4 linked regions of the Notamacropus eugenii genome follow. The protein of the gene in region 3 purifies or fractionates together with the protein of the main gene of each other region. This does not show direct contact. Links are inferred from orthologs where the notes say so. Each region holds a gene or a part of one and is shown on either strand. Other genes may lie near its edges.

Region 1 (7,634 bases), on a different chromosome or scaffold from region 3:
AGTATGGTGCCTCTAGATCTATATTCTGTTTGAAAATCTGCTTTGTGTATTCAGATATAAAGCAGGCAAGGTGTGTCTGCCAACCTAGGACCAAGGTTTCAGATGATGTCACTTCCCCACACTACTAACCCAGAGCACAGACTTGAGAGGCAGCCACAATCCTCAAGACATCAGTTAGTTCCCAAGAAACAAGGTTGTGAATGGCCAACACCTTTCAAACCCTGACTTCTCCAGCATTTCAGAACCACAGTGCCATGGCCAAGACATGTTCTCTATTTTAAACCTCATTAGACAAATTCTACAAATGAAAGGAGTGCATGAACCACCACATTAAGTGTTATCAGAATTCAGATGATGGGCCAGGAAGGGTTCCTCAAGAGGTACAACTTAGGATGCACAGGATCCCCTCTAACTGACATTACATGATGAGAAGGCCATTCCAGAAATGATTAATGAGCAATGGGAATGGAGGGAGAGACTGATCTTGTACATGTAAGAAGATTCTACTACAAGAATAAGGTTGGAAAAAGAAAAATAGATTAGAAAATAATGAGGTAGGGCCTTGAATGTCAGTAACGATTTGTTGTCAGAGGCAGGAACACCAACGATTCTTCCCCAGGATTCCCCCAAAGTTTCCAAACAAAACAAGACATTTTTTGAGCCACTGGAAAGACTGTATTTTATTTGTCCACTGTAGCTTTCAGACTTTACTGCAGTCAATCAACATCTATGAAGGGCCAACTTTGTGTCAGGCACTATGCCAAGTGCTGAGTACACCAAAAAAACTCATCATCTAAGGGGGGAGACAATATTCAAATAAATATGTACAAACAAGCTATACAGGATAAACTACTTAACAAAGGTTTTTAGTTGGTATTTAAAGGAAGCCAGGAGGAATGTACAGTAGGCCTTAAGGCAATACAGAGACACTAGAATTTACTGAGTGGGGGAGCAGGGGTGACAGAGACAGACCTGGGCTTTGGCTGGGCAGAGGAGGGACTTGAGTGGGGACAGACTTGAGGCAGGCAGATCCACCAGCAGCTAAGGAAGCAGTCCAGATGTGAGGTGATGAGGGTCGGCACCAGGGTCGGGGCCGTATCAGAGGAGAAAAGAGTGAGTGTTCAAAGGATGACTGAAAGGTGACAATAAAAGGCCATGACAACTGCCTGGCTATGGGGGAGGGTGAGAGGTAGGGAGGAATCCAGGATGACTCCCAGGTTGTGAGCCTGAGAGACAGGGAGGATGGTGTTGTCCTTGATAGTGGTGGGGAAGGAGAGTAGGGGCTTAGGGAGAAAGATAAGTAGCCAAAACAGTTCACATGTGCTTGTCAACCCTTTGATAACATTCCCCCCACTGACTGGGCATCAGACTTTGTCACTACGCCTCATGAGGAATCATGTACATTCATAATAATTTTTAAGGTGTCCTTCTTCCTTGCATTTTACACTATATACAATGGCCAACATTAAAAGATTTTAGGAACCTTAAAGGTTATCCAAAGAAGAAACTTTAAAACCAATTGTTTTGAAGGTCACATCCAGAATTTTTAAACTCTGACTTTGAAAACAAAGAAGGATAAGGGTCCAAGCATGGCAGGGAACGTCAGGGGAGCTAGGGCCCTAAGAACAAGGAACGACAGGCTTACCAAGAGCATAATAGGGAATGTCAACCTGAGAGGAAGCCTAGAAATTGGTGAGTCTTAATCTTCCTTTGTGTCATGATTCCCCCTCAGAATAACGATTTTAAATACAAAAAATTAAAGACGTACGACTGTAGAGAAAACCAATTATATTAAAATATAATTGTCAAAAAAATTTTCAAGTTCCCAGTCCTTAAATTAAGAACCATTGGCCTAGCTTCTTGACTTGAGAGAGGATTCTTAAAAAGCAACAACGGAGGAGGAAATGGAAAGGATAGGTTAGGAAATGAATATGTAAAAAGGCGTAAAAAATAAGCAATACTGTCTCCAGCTGCACTCACAAGCCCCACCCAGGGTGGCTGCTAGTCTGGCTTAATTCCCACTCTGTGGCCAAGGTCCTAGGCATGGCAAGAGGTGGAGCCTTTGAATGTCTTCTGATGGGCAAGAGGTGCCATGTGGGTAACCAGAAGTCGTACCTGTTACTCTGGGCAATTTTCTCTTCTCTGAATCTGTTTCCTACGTAAACAGAGGGAACTGTACTGACCTGGTCGCTGAGGTTTCTTCTAGATCTAAGATCCTAAGTCATACTACCTCCCTGGGCCTCAGTTTCCTTCTCTGTAAAATGAGGACGGTGTGCTAGATGGCTCCTGAGGTCTCTTCGAGCCTAGTTCCTGGCCTTACTCATTTCCTCTAGGAACTGGGAGTGAGGGGGAGGTATCTCAACTAGGTGGTGGTGGCCCAACGGTTAGTGTTCCAGGTATGGAGTAGGAAGACCCTTTCTCCCCCCCCCCCCCTCATCTCACCGCGGGGGGTCCCCTCCCCACCATACAGAGGCAGGGTCACAGCGAGGGTGCCCTCTCCTCGCTCCGCTCCCGCCCCCGCCCCCTCCCCCGGGTCACACCTGGGCCTGCAGGTGCAGGGACACGGCGGCGGGCTCGAGGCGGCTGCGCCGCACCAGGCGCAGGCAGTTCTGCAGGTGCTCCTCGCCGGCAGCTAGCTCCTCCGTGTCGATGTGGTTGAGGCCCAGCTGCAGCTCCACGGCGGCCAAGCGCACCGCCCGCGCGCTGGGCTCGGCCCCGGCTCCCGGGCCCTCCGCCGCCGGCCCCTCCTCCGCGCCCGGGCCGCCGCCGCCACCGCCCCCGCCGGCCTCGTCGTCCTCGTCCTCATCGGCCGCGGGCCCCAGCAGCGCCTTCACCTCCTGCAGCAGCTCCCGGGCGTAGTACTTGGACTTGTACGGGTTGTTCTCCGGGTCCTTCTGAGACTCCACCTGCGACAGCGACAGCGACGCGCGGAACATCTCGCAGGCCGCGGCCCAGTCCTCCGGGGTCGCCATAACGCCCCCCTCGTCCGCCCCGCCGCTGCCCCTCGCCCCCTGCCGCGCCCGCCCCACGCACGTCGCGCACACCTCGCAGGGCGGGGCCGCGCGGGCGCGCCGGCCAATGGCGGGAGACGCCGGCGCGAGGGGGCGGGGCCTCCGCGGCGAGGCCCACCGTCGCCATGGCGACGCACCTGCGCCCGAAGAGAGGCTCCGCTCCTCTTTCCTAGCGGTGCTGCTGGGTGGCTACGCTGAGACGTCCTCGCTCTTTTGGCCGAAGCACTTCCGAGGAGTCCAGAGCCAACCAGCCTTCCCCCACGTGACTGCCGGCCCCGCCCTGGGAGGAAGGGGCCTCGGAAGCAGATTCTATTCTGCGCACGCTCGTTGGGCGTCATCCGTGTGCGACGTTCGGGGCCGGGGCGGGCCGGGGTCCCCCGACTCAGTTTTTGATGAATGCGTATCTGCGCATGGTCGGTCAGCAACTGGTGTGCCAGGCGCGGTGCCAATCGAAACACTGCCCTGCCCCCTTACCCCCAAACAACAGTGCTGGTATTTACGCAGCTCTTCCGTTTGCAAAGCGCTTTCCACAAGTCCCACCTCGAGAAGGTAGCGGAGAAGGGACCGCAAGCTGCCACTGCAGTGTGCGCATGCGCAGCGATGGGGCTCAGCGGAGGCCCAGTGGGCATGTCCTGCACTAGCAGGCCGGGCTGCCCAGGAGTGTGAGAGGGAAATAAAATGGGGACTCGGGGCAGAGGAATGAATGGGGAGCCTAGTCTAAGGGTGAGGCCTTCACTAGGGGGCAGAGGAGGACACTAGAATCCTAGCCCGAGAAAGTGCCAGTCTTTGAACCCCAAATCCAGCGCTGAATTCTGACACCACCAGGAAAGCCCTTGGAGATATAAATTTGGACCCTGGCATCTTCCCACTACTCAGGACTCGGAGGGCCTTCCCTTACCCCCGTGCCCAGAAGCACGGCCTGAGTCCTTGCCTCTATAAAACGGGAATAACTTCTGCCCTATCCAATATTATAGGATGAGTCCCAGATGGAGTAATGGGTACAGAATCTCCCGAGCAAATTTGTTAATAATCTCACACACACACACACACCTTTCAGGCCTCTGCAGGGCCCAGGCCGCTGTGGTACTAAGAAAAAGCAGCACAGGCATAAGGAAACTGTTTTTAATTAAGACATAAGACAATATCTTAGAAAATATTTACCTTTAATAATCCATTGACAGTTCCCAATTCATAAACAGATTGTATTCTGAAAATTCATTTGTAAAAAAAAATCTGGAACTCAATACTTTCTCATGAGAACTAAATTAAAAACGGTAGTGAGGTCCGCAGGCCAGCCCAACCAAACCTCATTAAAACTCTTTTTAGGTACCAATGAATGTAATGTACAAGTCTTGTTCCAGGAAAATTACATTTTCCCACAGCCTTTTGTTATGAATATTAGCATTTTCCCTTGAAAGTCTAATACTGCAAAGTAGAAACGAACCCCACACTAGCTTTTATATTCAGAACTAAAATTTTCTTTTGTTCACATACAGAAGCATTCTTGATTCCAAAGCACAATAGTTGTATGCCCACAAACAAGGGAGTGCCCTTTAGATACCTTGCCAAATACAAGGCGACACCAGTTCCAAACCCAATCCTGCTGGCTGCCCACCAAAGGTTTGGCCACTGTTAATCACTAAATCACAGTAATGGGGTGCATTTCGTGACCTGTAAAAACCTCTCCCCACCAAGGTGGACCCAATTAAAAGGTATGAGATGCTGAGAGAACCCTGCACTAAAGACAGTTGACTCAGGACCAGAAGCCCTAGGTTCAAGTCGGACATTGTGCCATATACTCAAAAGAAGTATCAGTAACCTTATCAGTTACTTCACGTCTGAAAAGTTGTGCCTTCATCATCTGAAAAAATAAAGCTGGACCTCCAGGCTTCCCAGACGTGATGACAGAAGGTGGAATGAGAGGCTTTAGCATTCTCCCAGTCACCAAGCACCTAAGTAGAGCATTAGGAACCAGAATGGGAAGTTCAAAGGATTTCCAAGAGCATCAATAAGGGGGGATTTAGTTGATCATGAAAATACTTGCTAAATTGGCCTTTTGATTGTTTCTGCACTAACAAGGGCAGCTAGGGGGGTGGGGGGAGGGTGGGACTCAGCCTCTAGAACAAACCGATGCCTCATGCTCACCAGTATTAAAACACCACGACCCTGGCAATGAGCTAGAGCTTCAGGAGCCAAAGGAGAAAAAACAGGGGTTCCCAAGGTCATAAGAAGTCATGGCAGCATACCCTTCACCCAAGGTCACTCAAGCTAGTAAGCAGCAGGGCTGGAATTCAAACCCACATCTTCTGACTGCAAACCCAGTGTTCCTTCCACTAAATCTGGCCAGGGTGATCTGAAGTTTGGGAGCAAAAGGAGAGTCATCAAACTGGGGGGCAGCACAGTGCCAGGAACACCAGAGGGGCTTCATAAATGCTTAGACCGCCCTCACACTGAGACAAGAGTTAGTAATCCCCACACCACCAATGGGCAGCTCACCCCAGGGGCTGAGACAGGTTGTCAGGGGGCTACAGAAGACACCCAGAGGAGGGATGGGAACACCATTATGGGGGAGGGATGGACATGCCCCAGATCATCAACGGAACCTCCAAAGATACTTTACAAAGCAGAAAGAGCACAGTGACCTAATGAATCATCTCTGCTGCACAATGAAAGAGTTCTCAGAACAACCTCTAGCACACAGTAGGTGCTTAATAAATGTTTGTGGAATCAAAAAGCCAATGTACATATTCTATAACATAATAGGGTTATGGAAATTTACACAATAAGAATCAACCTAATATTTTTCCTATTACCAACAGAACCTGCTTATCAGTCAACACTTCTCCAAGTTTTATAGCTCCCTAGGTAGTGGTTTTGAATTTTTTCTCTTAATTGAAAAATGTTGTCTAATAGTTTATTTCATCTGGTTAGCAAGTCAAGATTTTTTCTCCGAAATAAATAATATTTCTTTCCCAAATGGAGAAGAATTCAAAGCAAGTAGACAAATATTTGCCTCCTTCCTTTCTTTCCACCTGGGAAAGGGCATAAAATTATCTTCCCATGCCTGAGATTCTAACAGATGCTTTCAGTAAAATTTGCTAGTTTTTTGTCTACCATAAAGGAAGATTTGACAGAACCTGGTTAAAGCCACCTGGGTCCCATGCCACTGAGGAGAATGCTTGTGATTTATTTCTCAAGCACCAAAATAGCATTAGATGCACAAAAAATGTATTCTTTATGAGATATCAAACCCACAGCATCATCAGCAGGACCCAGGCTCTAGAACAAGCCGATGCCCAATGTCTCCCCAAGAGAATTCATTCAGCTGGTGGACTAGGAATATCTGTTGCAAAAACAAATCTTTGGCTATGGAAGAAAAGATCTTCTGAGCTTGGGTGCCCTGGGAGCTCATCCTCAGGGTAAAACACTACACAGAGATACTTTTCTACTCCTTTCCAAAGACGGCAGAGCTTAGAAGCAATCCACTAACATGAATTTCAGAATGAACACGTGTGCACTGACACACTTGTCCCAAAGAAAAACTTCTGAAGACACAGTGGACAAATGAAGGGATGGCGAACATCCCTTTGAACAGGGACGGGCCTCGAGGCAGAAAGCATCATCTCTTGCTGAGAGCTGCCCCAAAGGACAATAGCCAGGTGGTGAGCGGAGAAGGAAGCAAGAAGCAGGTCTAGAGTCTACAAAAGTCACTGGGGAGGGTGGTGCTGTCTCTTCAAACTTAATTGTGTCCTTTTGCTCATCTTAACGATGAGAAAATGCTCTCTGAAAACTTCGCTTCTGGCCTCTATTCTGAAATCTGTCATTCCTGTTGAAGCCGCTGCCACCATTCCGGCCGCCCCCATTCCGGCCGCCCCCATTCCGGCCGCCACCATTCCGGCCGCCCCGGCCACCACCCCGGCTGCCACCTCGGCCACCACCTCCCTGCCTCTGGTTCCGGAAACTAGAGAAGCCTCTGCCTTCATCAGGCTGCTGCTCCAGCTCGGGTCTCTCGGTGGCCACAGAGAGCTGCCAACGCCTTGAGTCCTGCCATTGTTCCTGGGGAACACAAGGTATGTTTGTCTCAATTCAGTTTGTCCAGATACCATCTGAAGGAAAACAAGCATCTCCCATCCTCCCAAAGAACTCCCGACTCTACAAGTGGTGCAAACCCCAAGGTGACTTCCCTTGAATGCTAAATGCTATGGGCACCATCCTGATTGCTCTGGTCATTGAAGCACGATGGGAAATTCTCCTCCCCCTACTTTGAAAAGGACTCTACATTCACAAGCCATTTGCTGGACCCAGAGGCTATATCCCACCCACACTATGCCAGATGAGAATACCTGGAATGTCTTTACTTCTGCAGCAGGAACATCAAAACAAACGCCCTAAAAAGAAAGGAACAGGATGAAGAGTTTCACAAAGGGATCCCTCAGTCCCTGACAAGGCTGAGTAACCTCAGACAGGTGTCTGCTCATCCAGCCATGGTCCAGATGTTATCCGTATGCCACAGACTGAAGAGGGGAGATGTGCCATCACATATGGAATACATGGAGCTGCTCTCCAAAGCCGAGCACAAGAGTGTGAGTGGTCTAACACAGAGAGCTTGAACTGCACTATGGG
Region 2 (7,995 bases), on a different chromosome or scaffold from region 3:
TGTGAGGGAAAAGGAAGATATTTAAAAGAGAATTCCAAAAAGCAATGTTCTCTAGAGCACATCAGATAGGCCTCCATTATGAGCAACTGATTATGGGTAACCTATAGGCTGGTGCTTATAGGCTCTTGAACGCTGTATTGGCAGGTCCTGTCAAGCTGGACGATCTTCAAGCATAGGCTTAGAGATAGAATGTATATGTATGTGTGTGTGCTGTCTGTGGACGAACCTAGCAAAGTGCCAGTGGTACAGCATAAGCAGGTTGGATGATGAATTTTTTCACTCCTTGTGACTCACGAAAACTGAGGCATAGAGACCTTGTAACCTTCATTAGTTAAGGAAATACTCCCACAGATGAACTCAAAGACCTTTGAAATACATAATTAAAATAATTTAAGTAGCAGGGATAGCCTAGGGGAACAAAGTAGCAACCTGGTGCAATATGGAAGGAAAGTGGATATAAAGTATGTAAGGCAGCTACTACAGGCATAAAGGAGTTTGATGCTGTTGAGTTCAGCTGTGTCCAGCTCTTCATGGCCCCATTTGGGGTTTTCAAGGCAGAGATACTGGAGTGGCTTGCCATTTCCTTCTCCAGCTCATTTTATAGGTGAAGAAACTGAGGGAAACAGGGTTAAGTGACTTACCCAAGGTCACACAGCTAGTAAGTCTCTAAAGCCTAATTTGAACTCGGGAAGATGAGTCTTCCTGACTCCAGGTATGACACTATCTACTGTGCCACCTAGCTGTCTGAAGAAAGAAGACTAGTTATCAAAACCTTGCATCATGTGAAGCTTTCAATTCAACATTTATTTGGCACCACCCTAAGTTGGGTCCTAAAAGAAAGGAAGGGCCCATAACAGATGGAAAATGGGGGAGGGGAAGGACAGAGTCCATTGTAGATATTCTGTACAGCATGAGAGACTTTTAGGTGCACTGGAGAGAGTGGATGCTGTAGAGGGCAAAATTATAATGGTAGAAGGAAGGAGGCAGGTAATTTCTAAATAGAGAAATACAGTGAACAGAAGAATCTGGGATATATGATTTGTAGAATTAGGAACGATATGATAAGAAATGAAACATTAGGTTGTGCATAAAGACAGGGTACTTGATGGTATTGCTACTTACTTTTTGGACAAATGTCCCTTTTCCCTGTGCACTAATTTGATTCTGCTCTGGGAAATTTGCACTTAGAACCTAGCTGCATTGGAAGAGGAGGAAGGGTTCAATCTTTAGCTTTCTTGTATTTAATCTCTACACTCTCTCTCAACGCAATCTTGTCTATGGTTAAGATTTCAACCATAATTTCTACGTACTTGATTTGCAGATCTCCAACCCCAATTCCTCTCTTTCTTAGAGTTCCAGTCCCACATTTCCATCTTCCTGCTAGTTAGTTCCATGTAAGTATCACACAGGCACTGACAATTCAATAATATTCCAAACACCAAATTCATCATCCTTCTTCAAAGACTGGCTTCTTCTCCTTATTTCTCTATATTGGTTAATGGCATAACCATTTTGTCAGTCACCCATTCTGAAAATATTTCACTCATTTCCATTCCCACTGCTTCAATCATTCTGTCTTCAAAATCTTTCTAGCAAACTTCTCCCTGTTCTGACCGCCATGGCCCCTAATTCAGAACTAACTTCCCCTCTCCTAGACTACTCCTAGACCAGAATAACCTAATTGGATTTCCCCCTCCAATCTATCCTACACTTCACTGACATATCCTCATGTCTGCTGTGATCATGTAACTCCTCAGCTTAAACACCTTCCACAGTTCCCTCTTCCCAAATGAGAGCCAAACTGTAGCTTGCCATTCAGGATCTAACTTACCTTTCCAGCATTATCTCCCCTAACAGACTACACCCTCCAACCACACAAGTTTTCTCAGTCTCTGATGTGGTCCAGGCTCAAAGGCCTCTGTACCAATGCTTAGGCATTATGTAGTTCTTCTTTTCTGGACTTCCCTATCCCCAACACTTGTTCCATTTGAAAACCTTCTCATCCTTTAAAGCCAACTCAGATGCCATCTTCTACACAGTACCCTTATCTCTCCACTCGGAAGCCATCTCTCCTTGCTTTGAATTTTCAAAAGTACTAAATAATTTTCCTATGCATTATCAACTTCCGCTTCATGTTAATGAATTTTTAAATATGCTTTTCTCCCCTGCACCCTCAACTGCCCGCGATCATTTAGTATTCCTGCAGTGCTTAGACTCCCAACAAATGTTTGTTGAAGAGGATTACTGTTGACTAAGGGTTGGGTATGTCAGGAAAAAAATGATCAGAGGAAAAAAACAAAGTTAGGAGAGGTGCTGTTAAGTCTACCCAAAGGGCTCAGGGAAAGTGGAGGGAAAGGAGAAGTAGCTACGCACACCTCTATGTTGGACGGGAAGCGGGCGGCGATAAAGCATGAGGGTGGCAGGGCCATCAAAGGATATCAGTAAAAAGTCACGGGGCAGAGCTGGGCCCGGCGGTCCTGGACACGTCTGTGCCACGGACCCTCTGCCAGGTTGGTGAAGCCCACGGGCCCTTTGCTGGATAACCCTTGGAAAGGCATCAGATAAAATAGAAGGGTTCCGAAGGGCACCGGCTGTCAGGAGGTCTTCTAAAGGTCTCCGGAGCCCAGGTTAAGGAGCCCTGGCAGGATAACGGATGGGCACAGAGCGGGCACGGTGCCCGCGCAGCTGCCGCGCTGGCGGGGCGGGGCTGCGAGGCCGGGCCCCAAGCCGCGAGCTGGCCGCAGGGGGCCGCGGGGCTCCCGCGCCTTCCTACCTGGCCCGGCCGCGGTCGCCGCAGGTCCTGGAAGTCGCGGCCGTAGATGGCCTCCAGCGCCTGCAGCTCGTGGTCCTGGCGCTGCGGGTAGCTCTCGGGCTGCTCCGCCGCGCCGTCGCCCGCTCCGCGCCGGGCCTGCTCTCCGGGCTCCCGCGGCTGGCGGGCCCGGGCGCCCCCGGCCATGGCCGCGGCGGCGGCGTGGGCTGGCGGGACGCCTCTCCGGGCCTCCGATCCGGGCCTCCCTGAGGAGGACGAGGACAAGTCCGGAGGAGGAGGGGCGAGGAGGGAGGGGGGAGGGGCGGGGCGGGCCGCCGGGACGCTGCGCTGCCCCCTGGTGGTCGGAGGGGCCGCCACTCCGCCCCGGGGGAAGGCGGCCTGCTCCAGCCACTGACGAGAGCTTCCTCCCCAGGGCCCCCTTGGACTGTGGCTGGGGATCTGGGGCCCTACACTTGGAACTATAAAGGCTATCTAGTTTATCCCCGTTTTACTGAGGAGGAAACCGAGCCAGGGACAGGTTGTGACAAGTGCCCAAGGAGTGAAGGATGGGCTGGGGCTCGGTGCCAGGGCTGGGCTGGGACTCGATGCCAGGGCTGGGCTGGGACTCGATGCCAGGGCTGGGCTGGGACTCGATGCCAGGGCTGGGCTGGGGCTCGATGGCAGGGCTGGAGCTCGATGCCAAGCCGCGGGATCCTAAATGCCTGGCCTTTTCCGCTGTCCCGAGTGCTGCTTATCTGGGAGGCCAGGCTTCCTCCTTAGCCCGCTCTGGAACCCGTGGAATAGAGCTGGGCCAGCCGTAGTTTGGGAAAGTAATGCAAGAAACGAGAAGGTGGTATAACCGCAAGGACGGGGATATACACAGGGGGCCAACTGGTAGAGATCTGCTTTTCTAGAAGGAAAGCAACTCTTGAGGGGTCAGCAATCACTTTAAGCAAACACTGTACCAACAGAGAAAATGCATGCAGAGAAATAAAGACAGGACTTCCAACTGTCTGACCATAAGCATGCATACATCACAGATCAACAGACAGATCCAACTCTCTGACCACACATACATTCATAGTTACCAGAGAGAGAAGCACCAGTATCTGGGTTTTCTAAGCTAGTGGATGTTACCTTAAGAGCTACCCAGAGTCTAATCTGGTCAAAGGACACTTCCAAGGAGAAAGCCCCAAACTAAAACCTCACTTCAGAGTAGTTATACAGTTTTCAGAGATGGAGGGCATGGAGGGCACACCCTCGGAGGACCCAGTGCCTCAATAGAAATGAACAAAAGGTATTGAGATCTATTAATGAGCAGGGAAGATCTTTAACTCTTCCTCCCTCCCACCTATTAACCTTACATTAACATTACAGGAGGATAAAGAGATGAATGATTCCCTTCTCTGCAGCTTTCTCCAACACTCCTCAAATCCCTGGTAGAGAGATGGCAAAAACAAAAAACAAAAAAAACTTGTGGGATTGGAAGGCTGTCAAAGAAGCCCTCATATTTGAATTCTTTGGGTTTCAAGAGTTGCTGTTTGGTTAGCTCCTTTCAGGAACACTTTCTTCCATATTTCTATGAACTGTATGGTTTATAAGTAGAGAGTCAGTCTCAGTGCATTGGGTGGCAGCATAGGGGTCTAAGAGAGGTGAAACAATGTGACTGGCCCCTTTGTGCTGTGAGAATCTTTGATAGAAGGATTATGTAATGATAATAGGTTATATTTATAAGTACTTTGTAGCTAAAATTCTTTTCATATGTTGTCACAGTGATGAGTTCTGGTTCATTGCAAATATTGTAATACTAATTATAAAAATTATTTGGATGAAGAAGCTGAAGTTTAGAGAAATTGAAGATATGGAACTAGAAGATCTTTTCATTTTACAAATGAGGAAACTGAGGTGCAAAGAAGTAAAGCAACTTGTCCAAAGTCACGTAGGTAACAGAGGACACAGCCAGAATTTGAACCCAAGTATAGTAATTTCTGTGATGTGCCCAAAGACACACAGCTAAGATGTAGCAATGAGGAGTCTAATGTAGGTCTTGTCACTACAAATAAAGATCATATTCCTTAGTTGTTTTTTTTCTTAAGAATCTTTCATTATCTGGTGCCAATTTACTATATTAGCCTTATCCCACATGATTCCTCAACATGTACTTCTCATTTTAGAGAAAAGTACTATTTGATGTCCTGTGAAGAGGCCCCATATGCTTCATTTACTTACACTGCTCATTATGCCTGAAATATCCTCTGTGGTAGGAGTGATATCTCCTTGGTATAGGTTAGACTAATTTCTCCCTAAAAGGCAAGGAAATCACCTTAGAGACTTCCACTAATACTCAAATCATTGACAATTGTGAATGTGAGTGGGATGAGCTTACCCATAAAAAAGAAAGAGCAGAAATGGATTAGAAACCAGAATCCAACAATATGTTATGTATGAGACACACTTGAAGTAGGAAGACACACAGCAAGTAAAAATAAAGGGCTGGAGCAGAACTTAATATGCTTCACCTAAAGTTAAAAAAAAAAAGAGCAGGGAGAGTGATCATGATTTCAGACAAAGCAAAAGCAAAAATAAATCTAATTAAAAGAGGCTATCAGGGAAGCTACATTATGTTAAAAGGTACTATAGACAATGAAATAATATTAAAAAAATTTAACAGCAAGTTTCTTTGATAAGGTTCTCATTTCTCAAAAATATACTGAGTATAGAATTGAGTCAAATTTATAAAAATAAGAGCTATTCCCCAACTGATAAATGATCAAAGGATATAAATAGGCAGTTTTCAGAAGAAGTCAAAGCTATCTAGTCAATTGAAAAATGTTCTAAATCACTATTGATTAGAGTAATGCAAATTAAAATAGTTCTGGGGTACCAACTCACACTTATCAGAAATGACTAATGGTGGAAGGGATGAAGGAAAATAGGTACATTAATAAACTATTGTGAACTGGTCCAATCATTTTGGAGAGCAATTTGGAACTGTGCCCAAAGGGTTATAAAATTGTGCATGCCCCTTGACCCAGCAATACTAGTACCAGGTCTATATTCCAAAGAGATCTAAGAAAAAGGAAAAAGGATTTATATGCATAAAAATATTTACATTAGCTCTTTTTGTGGTGGCACAGTTGGAAATGGGGAATTCTCATCAATTGGAGAATGGCTGAACAAGTTGTATCACATGATTGTGATGGAGTACTATTGTGCTACAAGAAATGATGAGGGGAGTGGTTTCAGAAAAGCATTGTAAGAACTATATGAATTGATGCAGAAGAACCAGGAGATCAATGTGCACAGTAACAGCAATGTTGTAGTGATGAACAACAGTGAACAATTTGGTTACTATGATCAATATGATCCAAGACAATTCCAAAGGACTCGTGATGAAAAAATGCCATCCACCTCCAGAGAGAGAGAACTGATAAACTTATGTGAATTGAAGAGTAGTTTTCTCACTTTATTTTCCTTGCTTTAAAAAAATATGACTAATATGGAAATATGTTTTTCATGATTTCACACTGATGATTAATATTATGTTGCCTGTCTTCTCAGTGGGTATGGGAGGGAGTGGAAGGGAGGAAGAGAATTTGGAACTCAAAATTTAAAAATAAAAAAATGTTAAAAATAAATAATAAAATGTAAAACAAAACTAAAATGTTCAATTGGCCATGTAGTTCTCATTTTGCTCTAATCCCAAACCTGAACTACTTGAAACATAACCCCCAGTTAGGCCTAGCCCAGAATCCCCTCCTATCTCATTTTTGCTTGTTGACAGCCTATTTATCCTATGAGGCCCAGCTAAAATTTTAACTGTTCTATAAAGAATTCTTTGACCCCCTAGCTGGAAACAATCTTTCTCTTAACAAATCTCATAAACATTTGTATTCCCCTTATTAATTTACATTCTAATGTATCAATAATTCTACTAGATTGAAAGTAGTTTCAGGGCTGGAATTGTCTTATTTGTCTTAAGAACCAGAATAGGCTTTTAACCAATAAATCAATATGCATTTATTAAGTACCTACTATGTGACAGGCACTGAAGATACAAAGAGAGGCAAAATACAGTCCTGGCTTTCAAGAAGCTCACAGTCTAAGGCGGGGAGGTAGTAACTTGCAAACAACTATGTACAAAAAGGACATATATAGGATCAATTGGAGATAATTAACAGAAGAAGGTACTAGCATTAAGGGGGATTAGGAAATATTTTAAGTGAGATTTCAAAGAAGCAAGGGAAGCCAGGAGGTGGAAATGAGGAAGGAAAGCATCTCAGGAATGGATAATAGTTGGTGAAAATACAAAGAGAAAGGAAGTTGTGGGATTCCAGGTTATGAAGAACTTTGAACACCAAACAGAGGATTTTATATTTGAACTTGGAAGTAATAGGAAGCCACTGGAGTTCACGGAATATGAAAGATCAATTTGTGAATTAGAAACATCAATTTGACAGCTAAGTATTGGAAGGACTGGAATGGTGAGAGACTTGTGGCAGAGGGACCATCCTTAACACTATTGTAATGGTTCAGTCATTAAGTAGTAAGGTCTTGGTCTAGAGTAGTGGCAGTGTCAGAGGAGAGAAGGGGTAAATATGAGAGTTATTGTGAAAATAAAATCTATAGATAGGGCTTGGCAACAGACTGGATATGTGAGGTTAAAGAGAGTGAGAAGTAGATGATGACATGTAGAGTGGGAGCCTGGGTAAATGGGAGGAAAGTGGTCTCTTTTATAGGAATACAAAAAGTAGAGAGATGAAAAGAAACAGGGGAAAGTACTGAATCCTATTTTGGACATGTAGAATTTAAGATATCTATAGGACATCCAGTCTGAGATGTCTAGTAGGCAGTTGGAGAAGTGAGTCTGGAGATTAGGAGAGCTATTGATTAGATAAGTAGATCTGAGACTCATCAGCATAGATAGGATCACTGAATCCATGGGAGCTGCTGAAATCACCAGAACATAAAAGATAAAACAAGTAAATGAGAAATAAGCTTGGAAGGACAGCACTAAACAGCTCAGGAGAGAGTGAGGTACAGGAAAGGTCTTTGGGAGAAGATGGCATGTTATCTGAATCTTAAAAAAGAGAGATAGAAAGAGGGAAGGAGGGATGCAGGGAGAGAGAGAGAGAATCATTCCAGGCATGTGAAATAGTCAATGCAAAAATATGGAGAGGAAACATGGAGTATTGTGTATGAGGAACAGCAATTTGGCCAGTATGAGTGGATTGTAGAGCTTGTGG
Region 3 (7,289 bases):
CAAAGGATTAAACAGAAGGAGGTTATTATAGATACCCTTTTTAGAGAAAGGCTGCATCTATGATGTCAAAACAAGTCATGGAATTCTAATCTGAGTGCAGCCCTGACCACAGACTTGTTTACATGACTTTGGGCAAGAACTACTCTAAAGGAAAAAGAAATTTTGCCTCCACTGATAAAAGAGAAATAAACAGTCCATTCTAAGTTTCCAGGAAAATGTGGCAACTACCATTAGAAACCATGAGCAAAGGTTCTGAGTTTAATGTGCACATCTTATGCTTTATAAAGCACAATTGCTACTTAGTATAATGAGCTGAGTGCACCTCTTAAACATGCAAGTATCCCCAAGCCTTTACTGAAATTATTAGCAAGTTTATTTTTCTTCATCTTACAATAGCTTAAAAAATGGAATGCTACTAATGTCAAAAGTTACTTCATTGTTGATTGTTTACAAAATACTATCTGTACACATCAACTTCTGTTCCATGTAAAATACCATTCCTGAGACGGAAAAAAAATAGTATGAAAAAGCTTAGTACCCCTAAAACCAAACTGACAAAATTCACATAAATTAAAATTAAAACTCTTCTGCGAAGAACTGACCCTGAAGCCAACCTAAGGAAGTCATCCATTTTGAGTTGGCTTCTCTACTGTGGAGTGGTTTTGCAGAGCCACACACCATCATCCTTACAAGCATGCAACTTTCTAAATCAATTTAAAGGCCTGTCCATTTTGAATATGTAAAAGATCTGCCTCAAGGAGGGAAATCTAGTACTGGCTGAAAAAGCATTTTCTTCCTATTTCCCGACATATCTCAACGGTTAAAAAAAGGAGGGTGTGTGTGTGTGTTAAAAACCCCACCACACAAAAAAATCTTACTAAACTTCATTATTAAGTCTTCCTACTTGGATGGTGAGCCACTGCCCAAGTGCTGATTCCAAGCATATGCTACAGGTTATTTAAATATTCATGTGCTGGCCTTCCCCAGCACCTAAGCATTAAGGAAATACTAGTTTATTACATTTAGTTAAATGATCAACTCATGCTACATGAGACAAGACGAGCTTTGCAATGACAGATTTTCTAAATGACAGGTAAGGAAATGTAAAATGAGGCTTCCAAAGGCAATATGCAAGTATGCTGGTATAAAAAACTGCATTAATAAATAAAACATATTAAAGACAGAATAATCATAATTTAATCATTTACAGGTTAACTTTGACTCTAGGTTTTAGGCCTGTAACTCATAAAAGTATCACATGAAGACCTTTTAAGTGACAAAGTAAATACTGGAGAGTTTATCTTTGAAGAGCAACCCACCAGCCTAACAAATGAACAAGAGGAAAAAGAAAGAATTCAATTTCTTCCATTTATCCAATTTCAACTTCAGATATTTAAACAGATTCTTTGCTCATCAGAGAATGCAATCTAGCTTTCATCGGTTTCTGGTCAAGGGAAAACTGCAATTTCATGTAAGCAAAGAACTACACTGAACACTCATAAAAACGGAATCATCTCATCTGGTAAAATATCTTTAACAAACATCAAGACAAAGAGCTCACATCTAACAGTAGCAACATGTCAGCAACACTGAAGGGGATACATACACATTCAGTTAGGTGGGTTTTTGGTTGTTGTTTAAAAAGAAGCTATTCGAAGGAAAACAAAATTTCATTTGGGTCATTACCCGTAGGTCATTTGCCCCCAAAGAGATGGGAATTTTAATGCCACACGGTTCATGCGCTTCTTTACTTTCTCCCCTCAGCACCAGTAACATTCACATTACAAAGAACCTCTTAAGAGGACGGCCGATAAGCACTTCACAGGAAACTTAGCAAAGCTGGACTACTTAGTGCCAAGAGCTCTTCGAAAGTCTGGATAAAATGTTAGCCTTGTTTCATATGCCCTGAATCTCCGGCTGCTTTACTGAAATGCTTCGCATCTTTTCCTTACATCGATCTCCAATCCTTTAGTCAAGTCAAAACTAGTGCATTTTAGCCCTCAATTATTACAAGAAGGGGAGGGGGGGAGGAATCACCTATTTTTTTTCTTAAACAAACAGAACCTTTTTCCCTCCTTGGTTCAGGTTTTATGCCAGAAGTGAAATAAGTGCCTACTTACTCAACGGAATTGTATTTTTTTTAAAGCAGGGAGTGGGGAGAGAAGGTGAAGTCATTAAAGTCCAGGTCTCTCGACTATAAACTTTAGAAAGAATACTCTCCAGGGCTAAGGTCTGCGGGGGGAGGGAGGGAAAGAGGGTGGGCTGGACAAAAGCCCGCAAACCTAGAAACCTAGTGAACCAACCACCCCATAAAACGGCTTTTGTGGAGGCCACTACGAGAAACCCGGCGCTCGCCCCAGCAGAAGGGGACGGAACACGCCGTCCTGCGGCTTTGGACGAGCCTAGCCAAGCTCACAGAAAAGTCTGCAGAGACCCGCCAAGGAGAAGCGGGGGGCGGGGGGCAGGAGTTACTTCACAGCTCGGTTTCTAATTCAAAGCCAAGGGGCCGGGGGTTGGGGGGGGGGGGTGTCGGGGGGAGCGAAAGCAAGGATTGGGGCAGAGCATCCAGGACGTGTCCGTGCGTCCCCTCGATCGCCGGCGGGGGTCATGAACGAGGGGGCCCCCCCGTCACTCCCCAGGGAGGGCTCAGGGTGTTCGGGGAGCTCTCGCTGTTGGTGCCCCCCCTCCATCTCAGCCTGCAAGGCCAGGCGGCCGGGGGTAGCCCAGAGCCCCCCGGGGCAGCGGCGGGCGCGGGAGCCTAGCACCCCCTAACCCCGCCGTGCACGGCCACCCTGGCCCCCCAGCCCCGGAGCCCCCAGCCCCAGGACCCCCCAGCCCCGGAGCCCCCAGCCCCGGAGCCCCGTCCGCAGCTCACCTTCCAGCAGCCGTTGGATGATACTGTCGATGTTAAGCTTGTCGATATCCGCCATCGCCTCCTCCTGCACCCCGGCCCCGGCGGCGGCGGCGGCGCCTCCTCACCGGCCCTCCCCCCACCCCCCGGCCCGGCCCGGCCCGGCTCGGCTCGGCCCGGCTCGGCCCCAGCAGCAGCAGCAGCAGCGGCGGCGCCGCCGCCCGCCCCCCAGCCCCCGGACTCACGGTCCCGTCCGCCCCTTCCCCACGCTCCAGAGCACAGAGAAGCGGCAGTGGCGGCGGAGGCACCGGGGGAAGCGGCGGTGGAGACGGCGGTGGAGACGGCGGCGAAGGAGGCGGCGGCCGGCTCCCTTCCCGTCCCCTCCCTCCCCCCCCCCAGGCTCCCTCTTCCTCCTTCTCTCCCGCTGGAGCCACGAGAGGGACAAAATGGCCGCCGACTCCTCAGCCAGCCTCGGGCGGCGTATGGATACGCGGGAGCAGCGCGGCAGAGCGGCCGGGACCTCTTTATGGGGGCTAGGGCCAAAGGGGAAGGGGGCGGGGACTCGGCGCGCGAGGCAGGAGGGGGCGGGGGGAGTGAGACGCGTCGCTCAGCGCTCTGCGCCGGGTCCTTCCGCGAACCGGGGAACAAATAGGGCCCCAGCTAGCGAGGGATTTCGAAAAGCCGCGCGGGGCAGACAGGGACCTGGGAGGGATGGTGGAGCTGGAGTTGGCTGCCCCAGCTCTGGGGCTCCTCTTCCCAACTCTCACGGGCCCTTTGAGCCCGAGGCGCACGGGAGCGGCTCTGGACTGCTGGTGCTGTCCAGCCTGGTGGTGTTCCCTCCCCACAGTCCGGAGGTTCCGTTGCATCCTTGGGATCCCCAAGCGCAGCGCATTTGGCCTGGGTCAGGATTAAAGAGGAAGGGGGTGGATTGTTTCTCTGGGGGCTCAGGCCTGCCCCTGTCCAGCCTCGTAGCCCTGCTGAGGGTTTCTCCTCCTTTCTGTGGCTCGGACTTTGGGCTGGATGGTACAGAAGAAAAGCAAATGCTTTCAATGCCCCCATTCTGTCAGAGGACAAGGCGAGGGGGCTTCGCTGGGCTGGCCCAAGAGGAGAACCAGGGTCTGAGGAAAGGGCGCCGGGCTGGGCGAGAGCACGTGGGCGACTAAAGTCACTTAAGAACCTCCTTTTTGTCTGCCTCTGGCTCTCCTTGTCTTTCTCTGTCCTTTCCTCCCCTTTTCTTTTTCTTCACTCTTTTCCTTCCCTTTCTTTCCCTTTATTACACTCTTTTACTCTTTCTTTTTTCCCTCTTCTCCCCTCTCCTCTATTCCCCTCTTTTTGCTCCCTCTCCTTCCCACTTTTGCCCCCTCTTTTAGTCGGCTTCTCATCTCCTTTCCCCCCTCCTCCTCCTCCTTCCTCTCTGTCTCTCTGTCTCTTGTCTCTCCCCCCCCTTTCCCTTCTTCCTTCCCCGCTTCCCTTCTCCTCTGATTCTCCCTTTTTTCCCTTTGCATTTCTGTTTCTTTTCCCTCCTTTCCTCAATCTTTCTCTCCCTTCCTCCATCCCCTCTTTTCTCCTCTCAGTAACCCACTCCTGCAAACTGCCCATGGGGCAAAGACACCTCATTATTTCCCAGAGTGAGGCAGAATTCCAAGAAGGGTCCCAAGTGTCCCTTGCCCCCCTGGAGATAATAAATAAAGAGTTGCTGAATTCACCTCATTCTAAGGAAAGAGAAGTGAAATTCTCTTGTTCCTTCACTCTCTATCCTAAAAATCCCCACTGTTCTCAGACACAGCCTGGGATGAGTCTGGGCTAAGGAGGATGGGGGAGGAGGGAGAAACGAGGAGGGAGGAAGACTTATTTGCAGAAAGCAAAAAAGATAGGGCAATGAAGATTCATTTTCGGAAAAAAACCAAATACAGTGGCATTCATTTTCTGACCAGGAAACTGCAGTGTTTATATTTGTACAATATAATCTGGGTATATGTCTCCCTTGTCTTTAAAGCTTGGAGGTTAAGGGGTTGCAGCCAGGCCCAACCTCACCACCAACTGGCACCAAGAAAGAATCACTTGCCTTTTTCTCCAGTGTCTCATGGTCTTTCTCTGTTAAATGGGAACAATTTAACAGCCCCACAGCTAGCCGTTTTTTGCATGCCTTTTCCAAGGCATGCTGTTGTTTTTCAATAGAGGTTGTATGGGCCTTGCCCCAAACATTTCCAGTGTGCACAGCCGTGCACAGCTGGCTTGTTCTTGCAAGACAGCTCATGTCTGAATGTGATGAATTTAGCACTATACGTAGCAAGAAGCCCGTAATTTTTGTTGGATGGAGAACTGGGTGCAATCTACCAAATTACAAGGAGTCTTAACACTCTTCTGAGTTGGAGCCTCCCAAGCCTGCCAAGGTCACCACATAGGCTTGGCGCATTTTGAAGTTGGTCTGGTTGTGTAACTCACCTGCAGAGAAAGTTTCTTGTGCTCCCTTTGCACGTGGAGAATTTGATTAACTAGGTGAGGAACTCAAGATAGATACTACCTTAATGGTGAGAAAACCTGAGGCTGCTGTTCTTGGCTGGGGGACAGAGGAGAGGGACACTCATTGTTTGACATTTTTATGCCAGAACCAACCATGACAGGAAAAAGACAAAGATTCGATACAGTCTTGAATTTTAAAAAAATTAATTGACATCTCTTACTTTTTCATAATCTCCTTTCTGGACCTATCCTACCTCAGACACTTGCTAACTGTATGACTCTGAGCAAGTCACTCTGTCTGCCTCAGTTTTCTCATCTATAAAATGGAAATAATAGTACCCACCCTTAAAGGCTGTGAGAATTCAAATGAGATAACATTTGTAAGCATGTTATGTGAATACAGTGTACCTAGCTTAGCAAAGTGTTTTTTCTTTGCATCTGATTCTCATAATAACCCTGGGAGATAGGTGCTATTATTATCCCCATTTTTACATTAAGAGTCTGAGGTCAAATTTGAACTCAGGTCTTCCTGACTCTAGGCCCAGCACTCTACCTACTGCTTCTCACAGAAGAGAGTAGGGACTATTTATTTGTCTTAGTATCTTAGGATTGTTCTGATCACTGAATGAGAATAACATAGATAGAGTTCTCTGCAGTCCTTAACATGCTTTATAAATGTGATTACTTTTATATTATTATCACTTATTATCATATTAGCTGTTACTGATCTTTGGTGCTGTTGTTGCAAGAGAGAATATTTGAAAGAAATGGACCACTGGCTGGGTTTTGGACATTATTCTACTGTCTGCAGCTTTTCCTGGGGATTTGCCCTGTAACAGTTTGAGATACATTGATACTCTAACCACCTTCTCATCTCACGTGTCCAGGATCGGGATTGGTGGAGTCTCTGAAATGCTTTCTACAAATCCTTCCATCTGTCCACAGGATGGCTCCTGTTCAGCCTCCTGGGAAGAGACATTAATATTTCAGGGAGATTGTTGGAGCAAAGTACATGGCTGGAGTGAGAGGAAGTGAAGGGGTGTGTGTGTGTGTGTGTGTGTGTGTGTGTGTGTGTGTGTGTGTGTGTGTGTGTGTGTGTGTGTGTGTGTGTACTTGCTTGTATGTGAAGCAGACTTTAGAACTAATCCTTCCTTGAAATTTGCTACTTTCCCTGTGTGGTGAAATCTCCTCTTCTCTACTCCACCAATAATAGTATGTTAGGTTTACAAAGCATTTTATATGTGTTTTCTCATTTGATGCTATCACCACAAGGCAGGTGATAGCATTATTCCCACTTTACAGATGAGGAAACTGAGGCAAACACAGGTCAAGTGATTTACCAGGGTCATACAATTAGTAAGTGTCTGAGGGAAGATTAAAACTCAGGTTTCTTAACTTCAAATCCCACACTGTAACTGCTGTATGGTTTAGTTGTCTCTCTGTTCTTTGTATAAACTAGCAGACATGGGAGGGTAGATTATGTTATGTAATGGTGGGCATAAGTCCTCCAAATTGCTTCAGTGGAGCTGCCTTCTTGAGCCAGGACTGAGCAGCTGTCTCCTCTGGATTCATTAGATATCACAGAACCATTGCCCGAGGCTGAGTGTCACTGTCCCACTGTGTCCCCCTTCTCCCAGAGCTGGAGTGTCTCTGTCACAACTAGTTAGCTCACTTGGTTAATATTCAGTGAGGAGGAGGCTGCTGGCTTGCCACCCCATAGCCAAACATTTTCCCTGAGCAGAGATGGCATCTTTGGCTAGTTAACTTGCATGTGTGTGTCCTTGAACATGAAAAGGGTGAGAGTGTGGCTGGTTGGGGACCAACTTTCCTCACTGCTAGAAGAAGTAGCATATCAAAGTATATATCCTGTTGGTGGTACTGGCTTCTCAACTGTGCAGGAGGGATGCTTAGTGGGTCAGTCCATAAGCATTTCAAAACTGAGAGGGGGTGGTATTTGCATCTGGGACAGGGAAGG
Region 4 (7,500 bases), on a different chromosome or scaffold from region 3:
CCAAGCTGATGATCCTAGGGGCAGACCACTTGCCAAAGAAGACACGTCACCTCCTTAGGAACTCTAAGCAGGTGCTCAGTTTGTGCAAACCTTTATACATGCATATATGAAAGGAAGGCATACTTAGGCTTCTCGATGGAGGACAATTAAGCCTGCTCTTCCCAATACGTGGGCAAAGGAAAATGTCCTTTCAAATACCTGGCAACATGGAGCAGTAGAAAGGGCACTGGCCTAGGAGGGCATCCCGGCTGTCCTCTCTGCCACCAGTCTCTTTCTGCTCTGATCCATCTATACAGCTTCCAAACCATCTTCCTTAAGGACACATCTGACCATCTCACTCTTCTGTTCAAAGAGTTGGCCACTTGTTTCCCCTACAGACACAAGCTCCTTACCTAGTCCCCTAAGGCTGCCAGTAGTCTTGCTGCAGTCTCTCTTTCTCAGGTGAACTGGATTATCTGAGATGGTAAAATGATCATTACCCCTCCCGCTTCCATGTCCACTGTGATAACACCTGTGACTTCCTATTATCACATACTATCATAGGGATAACAGTACAACAGAGAAATGAGTTAGTGCCCAACTTGTGGAATGTCCTTGCTCCTCACTGGTGCCCCTCCAAGTTGAGAATCCTGAGCTTTCATTCGGGCTCAGCTCAGATGTCATCTCTGGAAAAAGAATTCAATCTGGAGATGAAGACTGGGCTCAAATCTCAGTTCTGCTTCTTGCTGTGTGACCTTGGGGAAGTTGTTTCATCCACCACAGCCTCCAATTTCTCATCCAGAAAACAAGGGGATTGGGAATTAGATGACCTTCAAGATCTCTTCAAGGTCATAAGTTATAATAACAATAGTTAATATTTCCATAGCACTTACTACATGGCAGGCATTGTGCTAAACATTTCACAATTATTAGCTCATTTGATCCTCACAACAACTCTGGGAAGGAAGTGCCACTATTACTCCCATTGTACAGATGAGGAAACTGAGACGGACAGAATTTAAGTAACTTGCTGCGTGACACAGCTAGTGCATCAGAGGCTGGATTTAACTCGGGTCCTGATTCCAGGCCTGGGGCTCTATTTGCTGCACCATCTACGATCTTGATTCTTTACTCATCCTCTGAGCTGTTCTCTCTCTCTATTCCAAAAACCAGAAAACAAGCCAAAGAACCAAGTCAAACCCAAACCCAAACACTTTTGTTTGAATGCCTCCTTTGCTACTACAAGAATGGCATTACAGAGTGCTACCTGGGGACCCAGCAAAGAAACGAGTGCTCATCCTAGCTTACAAACTTACTGGCTAAGCAACTGTGGTAAATCACCTCTTTCATAAAATAGTGATGGTAACACTTTTACACGGAAAGGCTGCCACAAGTCTGGTACTATGTATGTATGTGGACACTACCATCATCAAAGCCTAACTCACATAACCTCTTTGAGTAAACTTCAAGCTCCTCAACTGTAATATGGGAAGGATAACACAAAGTGACTCAAAGCTACTAGAGTTCAAAACTGCCCTAAGACTTTTGGGACACCCTGTTTCACAACAACACTATAGAACTCATTTGGTTGACATGAAGAAAGTGCTTTGTAAAATGTAAGGGTACACTTTCTCAAAGGCTTAAAAATCCATTTTTTTTAAAATAATAATGTCACCGAGGCATTCCTGTCTCCTTTCTCAGATAAACTCCAGAGAGCGTCAAACCACACATAACAGTATAGCACAATTCCAGGAAGACAAGTTCCAGGCCAGATAAGAGGGCATCAGCACACAGTAAGCCTGAGCTTGCACCTGCCCCTGCCCTCAAACTTGTACTCAGATCAGCAAAAAAGGTTGTGAATACTAACATACCAGCCCCTGCCAGGGGAGGGAAAACTTCTGGTCTGGGCTGCCCTACATCCAACAAGAGAAGTTAAAAACACACACTCACAACTGAATAATGTAAACTGACTGAACACCTAGGAGAAGGAGCCTTCCTTTCCTCCTCTGTGAGATGGGCACACGCATGCCTCTTTACAAAGCTGTGAGGTCCCATCTGGATAGGCTTGGCAATCTTGAACTCTATGATCCTATTACTACACTCTCTGCAGAAAGGCGGGCGCCTGGAGGGACGGCCTGCTTCCTTTCTGTGGCTGCAGAAAGTACTTCTATACACTAAGCCCTCAGTCAGCCCTGGCTGAACGAGGCTTCTCTAGTTAGCAGCTATCGACACACTAGAATGTAAACTCCTATCGGAAGCCTCGCCCCCACCGCCGCCATGCAGTAGGCGCCTAATCCCTGCACGCTGCTATTACTATAGATAACACATGTTATATGTGTTATTATTATCGCGCGCGCACACACACACACACACACACACACACACACACACACACACACACACACACACACACACACACACACACACACACACACACACACACACACTCGGCTAAGGCTAAGGCGGCGGATCTCTCAGCATCCCCGGGCCAGGACCACAAGCACGGACTTCGCACCCACCGCCCGCAGCGGACCGGGCCGAGCGCTTCACAACCGCATCCCACAAGGGGGCTTCCCTTCTCCCCCACTCTGCCGGCAGCCCCTTCCCGGACCCTCACTCCCGCCGGGGAGGGGGGGACAAACCAGGCCCCCCAAGCAAAGCCTTCACCGGGTAACTGAGCACAAGGTGGGTCGGGGTGGGGGGGGTAATTGCCACTCTTCCCTCCCTGGGGGCGTCTGTTTTGGAAGGCGGGGCCCCGCCCCCAGTCCCACCTGAGGAAGGACGGTCCCGGGTCCGCGCCCGCGGCCGCAAGGTGCCTGGCGCTCCCTCCGCGGGACCCATCCCGGCCCCGGGAGAGAGGCGGCCTCCCCGGCCCTGGCCCCTCCGCCTCCCCGCCCTCACTCACCCCGCTGCCGCCCGTGCTCCCCGAGGCCGCGCCCGACCCCGTCGCCTCCGCCGCCGCGCCGGCTCCGGGAAAGGGCCCGCTCCACACTCCAGATTCAAACGCACGCCTGTCTCTTCTCCGGCGCATCTCATTGGCTGCCATCCGCCTGACGTCACCACGCCCGTCGGACGAAGCCACGTGCGTCCGCATTCGAGGTAGATTGGCCCGAGCGGGAGCCCGTCGGCCCCTAGCGTTGCCCTGGTAACGGCGGCGGTTGGGCGGGACTGGCTGCGGCCGTTGGAGGCGGAGCCCCGACTGGAGGGCGGTGCTAGAGCTGAGCGGACGCTACTCCATCCCCTCCGAGGAGTCGGGGGCGCGGTTCCGGGGTTACCCCGCGGCCTCCTGCCGCCGAAAGCCTGCGGAGGCCCATTTCTCCCGTCTTTGACTTGTTTGTATGTAGTTGTGTGAGCCTGGTCGGCATCAGACTGGAAGCCTCCCCAGGGCAGGGCCTGCCCTTGCCCTGGCTTGGCATCCCCCAGCGCCTGGCATCCCCCAGCGCCTGGCATCTGGCCGGTGCTTATTGACCACCTCTTCGTGATCCGAGCTGGCCTCATAAATCTAAACCGATTTCAGAAAAGCCCCCAAAACTGATTCGGAGAGTTGGAAGCAGTTCCCTCGGCCCTAGGTCAGATCACCTCGTAGTGGGGCGGAGATGGACATTGCTCAAATATATTTTTTCTTAACAAACCTGTAAGGATTTTGTGAGATATTGAAGGGGCAAAACTGGGAAGCCTTTCCTTTCTGAGATATCTTCATTGGGAAAAGTGCTTTGTGTTAGTCACTGATGAGTACTTGTTAAAATTAGGGTTTTAAAAAAGCAAAACAGCCATCCTTTTCTATATTACTTTTGTGACAATACTTTTTGTAGTATTGGGGTGTACAAGTAGTAAAACAGGCATCCTTTCCTCTGTTTATTAAGACATTTATACTTGTTAATTAGGGATTTTAAAATAGCCACAAAATGGATAGAACCATATGAATAAAAGGCTTTTATTAGGATTTGGGTTTTTTTTTTTTGACATAGAGCAAATTGTCCTAATAAGACACATATTAAAACTTATCTTTCTTCTTGATCTGTACCTGTGATTTCACCAAATTTGTCATAAGTGCAGATGAGTAACTTTTCTAAGTTAGAGTCAGAATTGGGGATGGGCGGCTAGGTCAGGACTAGACAATAGGTGGCAAAGAGGTAGAATTTAAACCCAAATCCATCTAACTGAAAGTATTAATAAACAGAAAAGGAGGACTCTTTTGTACAGTCATACACCCTAATAATACGGGCTGGCTCTCCAAGTGAAATAATGTGCTTTGTAAGCCTTAAAATGTTGTAGAACTGCGAGCCCTCCTTACTATTCTATTAAATTTTGTGATTTGACTCCTTCAATTACGACATCCTTACACAGTAAAACCAAGCCTGATTCAAGTTGTCAGCCAACAAGCATCTTTAAGCACTATACTGCCAACAAAAAAACATACTCTCTAGGAACTCACGGTTTAATAGGGGAGGCAACATAAAACCAATTATATACAAACAAGATATATAAATTGGAGATAATCAGTAGAGGGAAGGCACTAGCATCGAGGGAAACAAGCCTCCTTATAGAGCCTGGGATTTTGGCTAGGACTTGAAGGAAGCCACTAGGCCAAGATGAGAAGGCAAGGTGTGTGGAAATAACGGGGATTAAATAAGAGATGTCTAATGGAAAGCCATTTTCCAGCACTAGGACATTATAGGAGAATATCCTACAAATGATTTTTCACAGGCTTGCGCTAAGCAGCCATTCGTAGATGAGTCATTGGGTTGTGTGATACTTTGAGATTACATGAGGAGCTTGCTACAAAGTAGCCTGGAAGCTGCTACATCTTGTCCCTTTTTGGTGTGTCAGTTGCACCCGCAAACTCTGAAATGCACAATGTTAGAGTAGTAGGATCATGCTCCGAATCGTTTATTCTGGACAATCTCCCGGGCCAGGTTCTGCCACTACATGCGGTGTAGCCCCAAGTGATGAAGCCAGACCAGGATGGCCCCCTTGGAAGTTTTCCATCTCTCAGTTTTCACACGTGAACAGTTCTGAGAATCCCGAAGCTACCGTTACTGTCATCCCATTCTGTCCCGGGGCTCGGCCCCTTCTGATTTGGCCCCGGTAGAGAAGGGAGCCCTTAGTGCGCCCCGCTCGGCTCCGACGCCCGGGACCGTGAGGAAGGGCCGCGGCTCGGAGCCCCCGGAACCAAAGGCGACGCGGCTGGTTGCCGGGGGAGCGGGGCCCGCGCGTCCGTCCTCGGCGCCTTCCTCCGGCGGCGCCTTCCCCTCGGGCGGCCCACGTCGAGCGGCCGCTCTGCTCGCCCCCTGCTCCGCCCGGCCTCGGCCTTCAGGGCCCGAGCAAAGGCCAGTTAGAGACTGAGCTGGACGTAAGGCCTCGTGTCCGACCCAGGTGAGGAAGGCGAGGCTGCCCTCCCCCAGGGGAAGACCTTCCCCGCGGCCCCGCAGCCGCCCGGCGAGCGAGCGCCGTCCCCCTGGGCTCCCGGGCCGCGGGTCCTTCCCACCGCCGCCGTCTGCGAAGGCGCATTTCACGCCCGGGGTGGAGGGTAGCTGGTGCCCGGCTATACCGTGGGAGTCTGTGAGGGAGACAGAGGACAGGCCGGGGAGGTCGGGGAAGGTCCCAGTGGGGGCTCCCAGGACGTTTTATCTCCTGCACAGTCCCCAGAGGGAGGGGCTGTTATAATCCCATTCTGCAGACGCGGCCGCCGAGGCTCCGCTCGGTTTAGTGACTTGGTAGGTGTCATACCACTAGTCTCAGCCAGCCTCGTATCGGAGGTCTTCCTTCAGGTCCGGCGCGCTGTCTCTGGTCCTAATGGATCATCACCCTTTTCAGTGGAGACAGGCCAGCAAGTGAGGTGTCCCAGGGAGATGTTCGGGGGACTGCTCAGTGCTGGCTACCTTAAAGTGATCAGTCATGTAGAAAACAACACAAACAAAACTTTCTCAGTGAGGTAAGGTTGCCCTCCCCCTCTGGGTTTCTATATTTTTTCCCACAGTTCTCCTTTAATAATACCCTCTAGCTGTGTGCCTGGGGCACAGTTTAGTGACTTTACAAAATCTGATTTTCTGGAAACATTCCAAAGGTCAGTGAAAGGTTAGTGCTACTTTTCCAAAATTTCTTCCACTGATTTTGATTTTCTCCATGACTATAGACTCTTAGTTTGATTCTAGTTTTTAAACTAAAATCTAGATGAATGAAATCTAACTCTTTATTCACATACATACTTTGGCCAATGGACCATAACCAAACATGTTTGACTGTTTAATTGTCTAAATAGAATATTTCTGTTTTTGAAGATGAAAGACTTGTTAGAATTTAACCAAAAACTAGATGATAGCTGATGGGATGTGTGTGTGTGTGTGTGTGGGGGGGCTTCTTTCTCAGATATGAGTTGGAGTAGATGCTTCTGAGGTCACTTTCACCTCTGAGATACTGTGATGATTCTGAGTGTGTATGGATGTCTGTTGCATAAGTTTTTATGTAGTTATTAAATAGGAGAGTTTGGTTGGAGTTTTACTGTCAGGTAGGAAAGTAGTTGGTATCCTCAAAAAAACTTTCTGGAAAATAGAAAGCATTATTTCATGTTTAACTTGTCATCACTTTACTTTCCCAAGTCTATTACAACTTTACCAGTGTCTAGTTTTTACTATGTAACTATGCTGACACTGTTAGTATTTACTATGTTTATATAGTTTTTTGGGTTTTTTTTTTTTAATATAACTGGCCTTTTAAAAAAAATTTGAATGACTTATTCTTATCTTTATTTAGGGCAGTGTACTGTTTAGATTTGTTTCTTTTTGGACATAGCTGAATCAAGTCTTTTCCTCAGGTTACTTGTTAAGTGGTTTATGTTTTTGCAGATTTTATACAATCAACTTTTCAATATCTATTGTTTTATCTTCTGAAAGGAAGAATTTTTTTAAGCCAGATTTTATGAGTCTTTTTGGAATGTTTTAGAAGTAGAATGGTTTCTGTATTCTTGTTGTGAAGTTAAAGTCCCATAAATTTTATTTTAGGAATTTTTACTTTTCATTCTGATTTGGCTGTTTCTGCCGAAAAAAAAAGTTCCTGAAATATCATGTTTTGGAATGATTAGTTAGGTATTCATTGTTTTGAGGAAAATAAGGGATAGTGCCTCAAATGTTGTTTAATATCATTTGGCAAAATAGTTATTATGATGTGCAGGAGAATTTTATCTTGGAGATATATTTTATGTATATTTTATCTTGATTGTATTTTTTTATCCTAGTAGTATTTTTGTCCTGTGAAGCTATAATATGCAGACTGAAAAGGAAAAATGACCTAACATAAGAAAACATGAATCAAAGCCTGATTGAAAGAGGTTGAGGAGTGAGTTGGTTGTGAAGAAATGAAAAGATGGAAAAAATGCTGTTTCTAAAAGATTGGTTCTGAAAGGGTAGTAATGTCATGTAAACATTTTTGAAAGAATAGAGAACCAATGTTTGTTTCAATATTTGACAAGGAAGGCACCAGCTGATGAGGGTAGAACTCATTCACAAGTTAATTTTGCTACTT

The links.
Region 1: the proteins of PPP1CC (region 3) and KIFBP purify together in Homo sapiens (affinity purification with mass spectrometry; 3 studies listed by BioGRID and IntAct, counting the BioPlex papers as one, with this or other methods). This does not show direct contact. The link is inferred for Notamacropus eugenii from reciprocal best matches to the Homo sapiens genes PPP1CC and KIFBP.
Region 2: the proteins of PPP1CC (region 3) and EIF2AK4 purify together in Homo sapiens (affinity purification with mass spectrometry; 3 studies listed by BioGRID and IntAct, counting the BioPlex papers as one, with this or other methods). This does not show direct contact. The link is inferred for Notamacropus eugenii from reciprocal best matches to the Homo sapiens genes PPP1CC and EIF2AK4.
Region 4: the proteins of PPP1CC (region 3) and KIF18A purify together in Homo sapiens (affinity purification with mass spectrometry; 4 studies listed by BioGRID and IntAct, counting the BioPlex papers as one, with this or other methods). This does not show direct contact. The link is inferred for Notamacropus eugenii from reciprocal best matches to the Homo sapiens genes PPP1CC and KIF18A.

What each region holds. Positions count from the first base shown.
Region 1 is NC_092872.1:260,097,204-260,104,837, forward strand, and holds the start of KIFBP (KIF-binding protein), read right to left. Parts: upstream 3,006-7,634; 5' UTR 2,973-3,005; coding exon 2,541-2,972; intron 1-2,540. Other genes in the region: DDX21 (nucleolar RNA helicase 2), read right to left, coding at 6,774-7,067, 7,355-7,399. UniProt on the Homo sapiens protein: Activator of KIF1B plus-end-directed microtubule motor activity. Required for organization of axonal microtubules, and axonal outgrowth and maintenance during peripheral and central nervous system development.
Region 2 is NC_092878.1:25,754,544-25,762,538, reverse strand, and holds the start of EIF2AK4 (eIF-2-alpha kinase GCN2), read right to left. Parts: upstream 3,003-7,995; 5' UTR 2,957-3,002; coding exon 2,774-2,956; intron 1-2,773. UniProt on the Homo sapiens protein: Metabolic-stress sensing protein kinase that phosphorylates the alpha subunit of eukaryotic translation initiation factor 2 (EIF2S1/eIF-2-alpha) in response to low amino acid availability.
Region 3 is NC_092875.1:35,564,480-35,571,768, reverse strand, and holds the start of PPP1CC (serine/threonine-protein phosphatase PP1-gamma catalytic subunit), read right to left. Parts: upstream 3,014-7,289; 5' UTR 2,931-3,013; coding exon 2,876-2,930; intron 1-2,875. UniProt on the Homo sapiens protein: Protein phosphatase that associates with over 200 regulatory proteins to form highly specific holoenzymes which dephosphorylate hundreds of biological targets.
Region 4 is NC_092877.1:23,275,356-23,282,855, reverse strand, and holds the start of KIF18A (kinesin-like protein KIF18A), read right to left. Parts: upstream 3,017-7,500; 5' UTR 2,885-3,016; intron 2,839-2,884; exon of another isoform or gene 2,751-2,838; intron 1-2,750.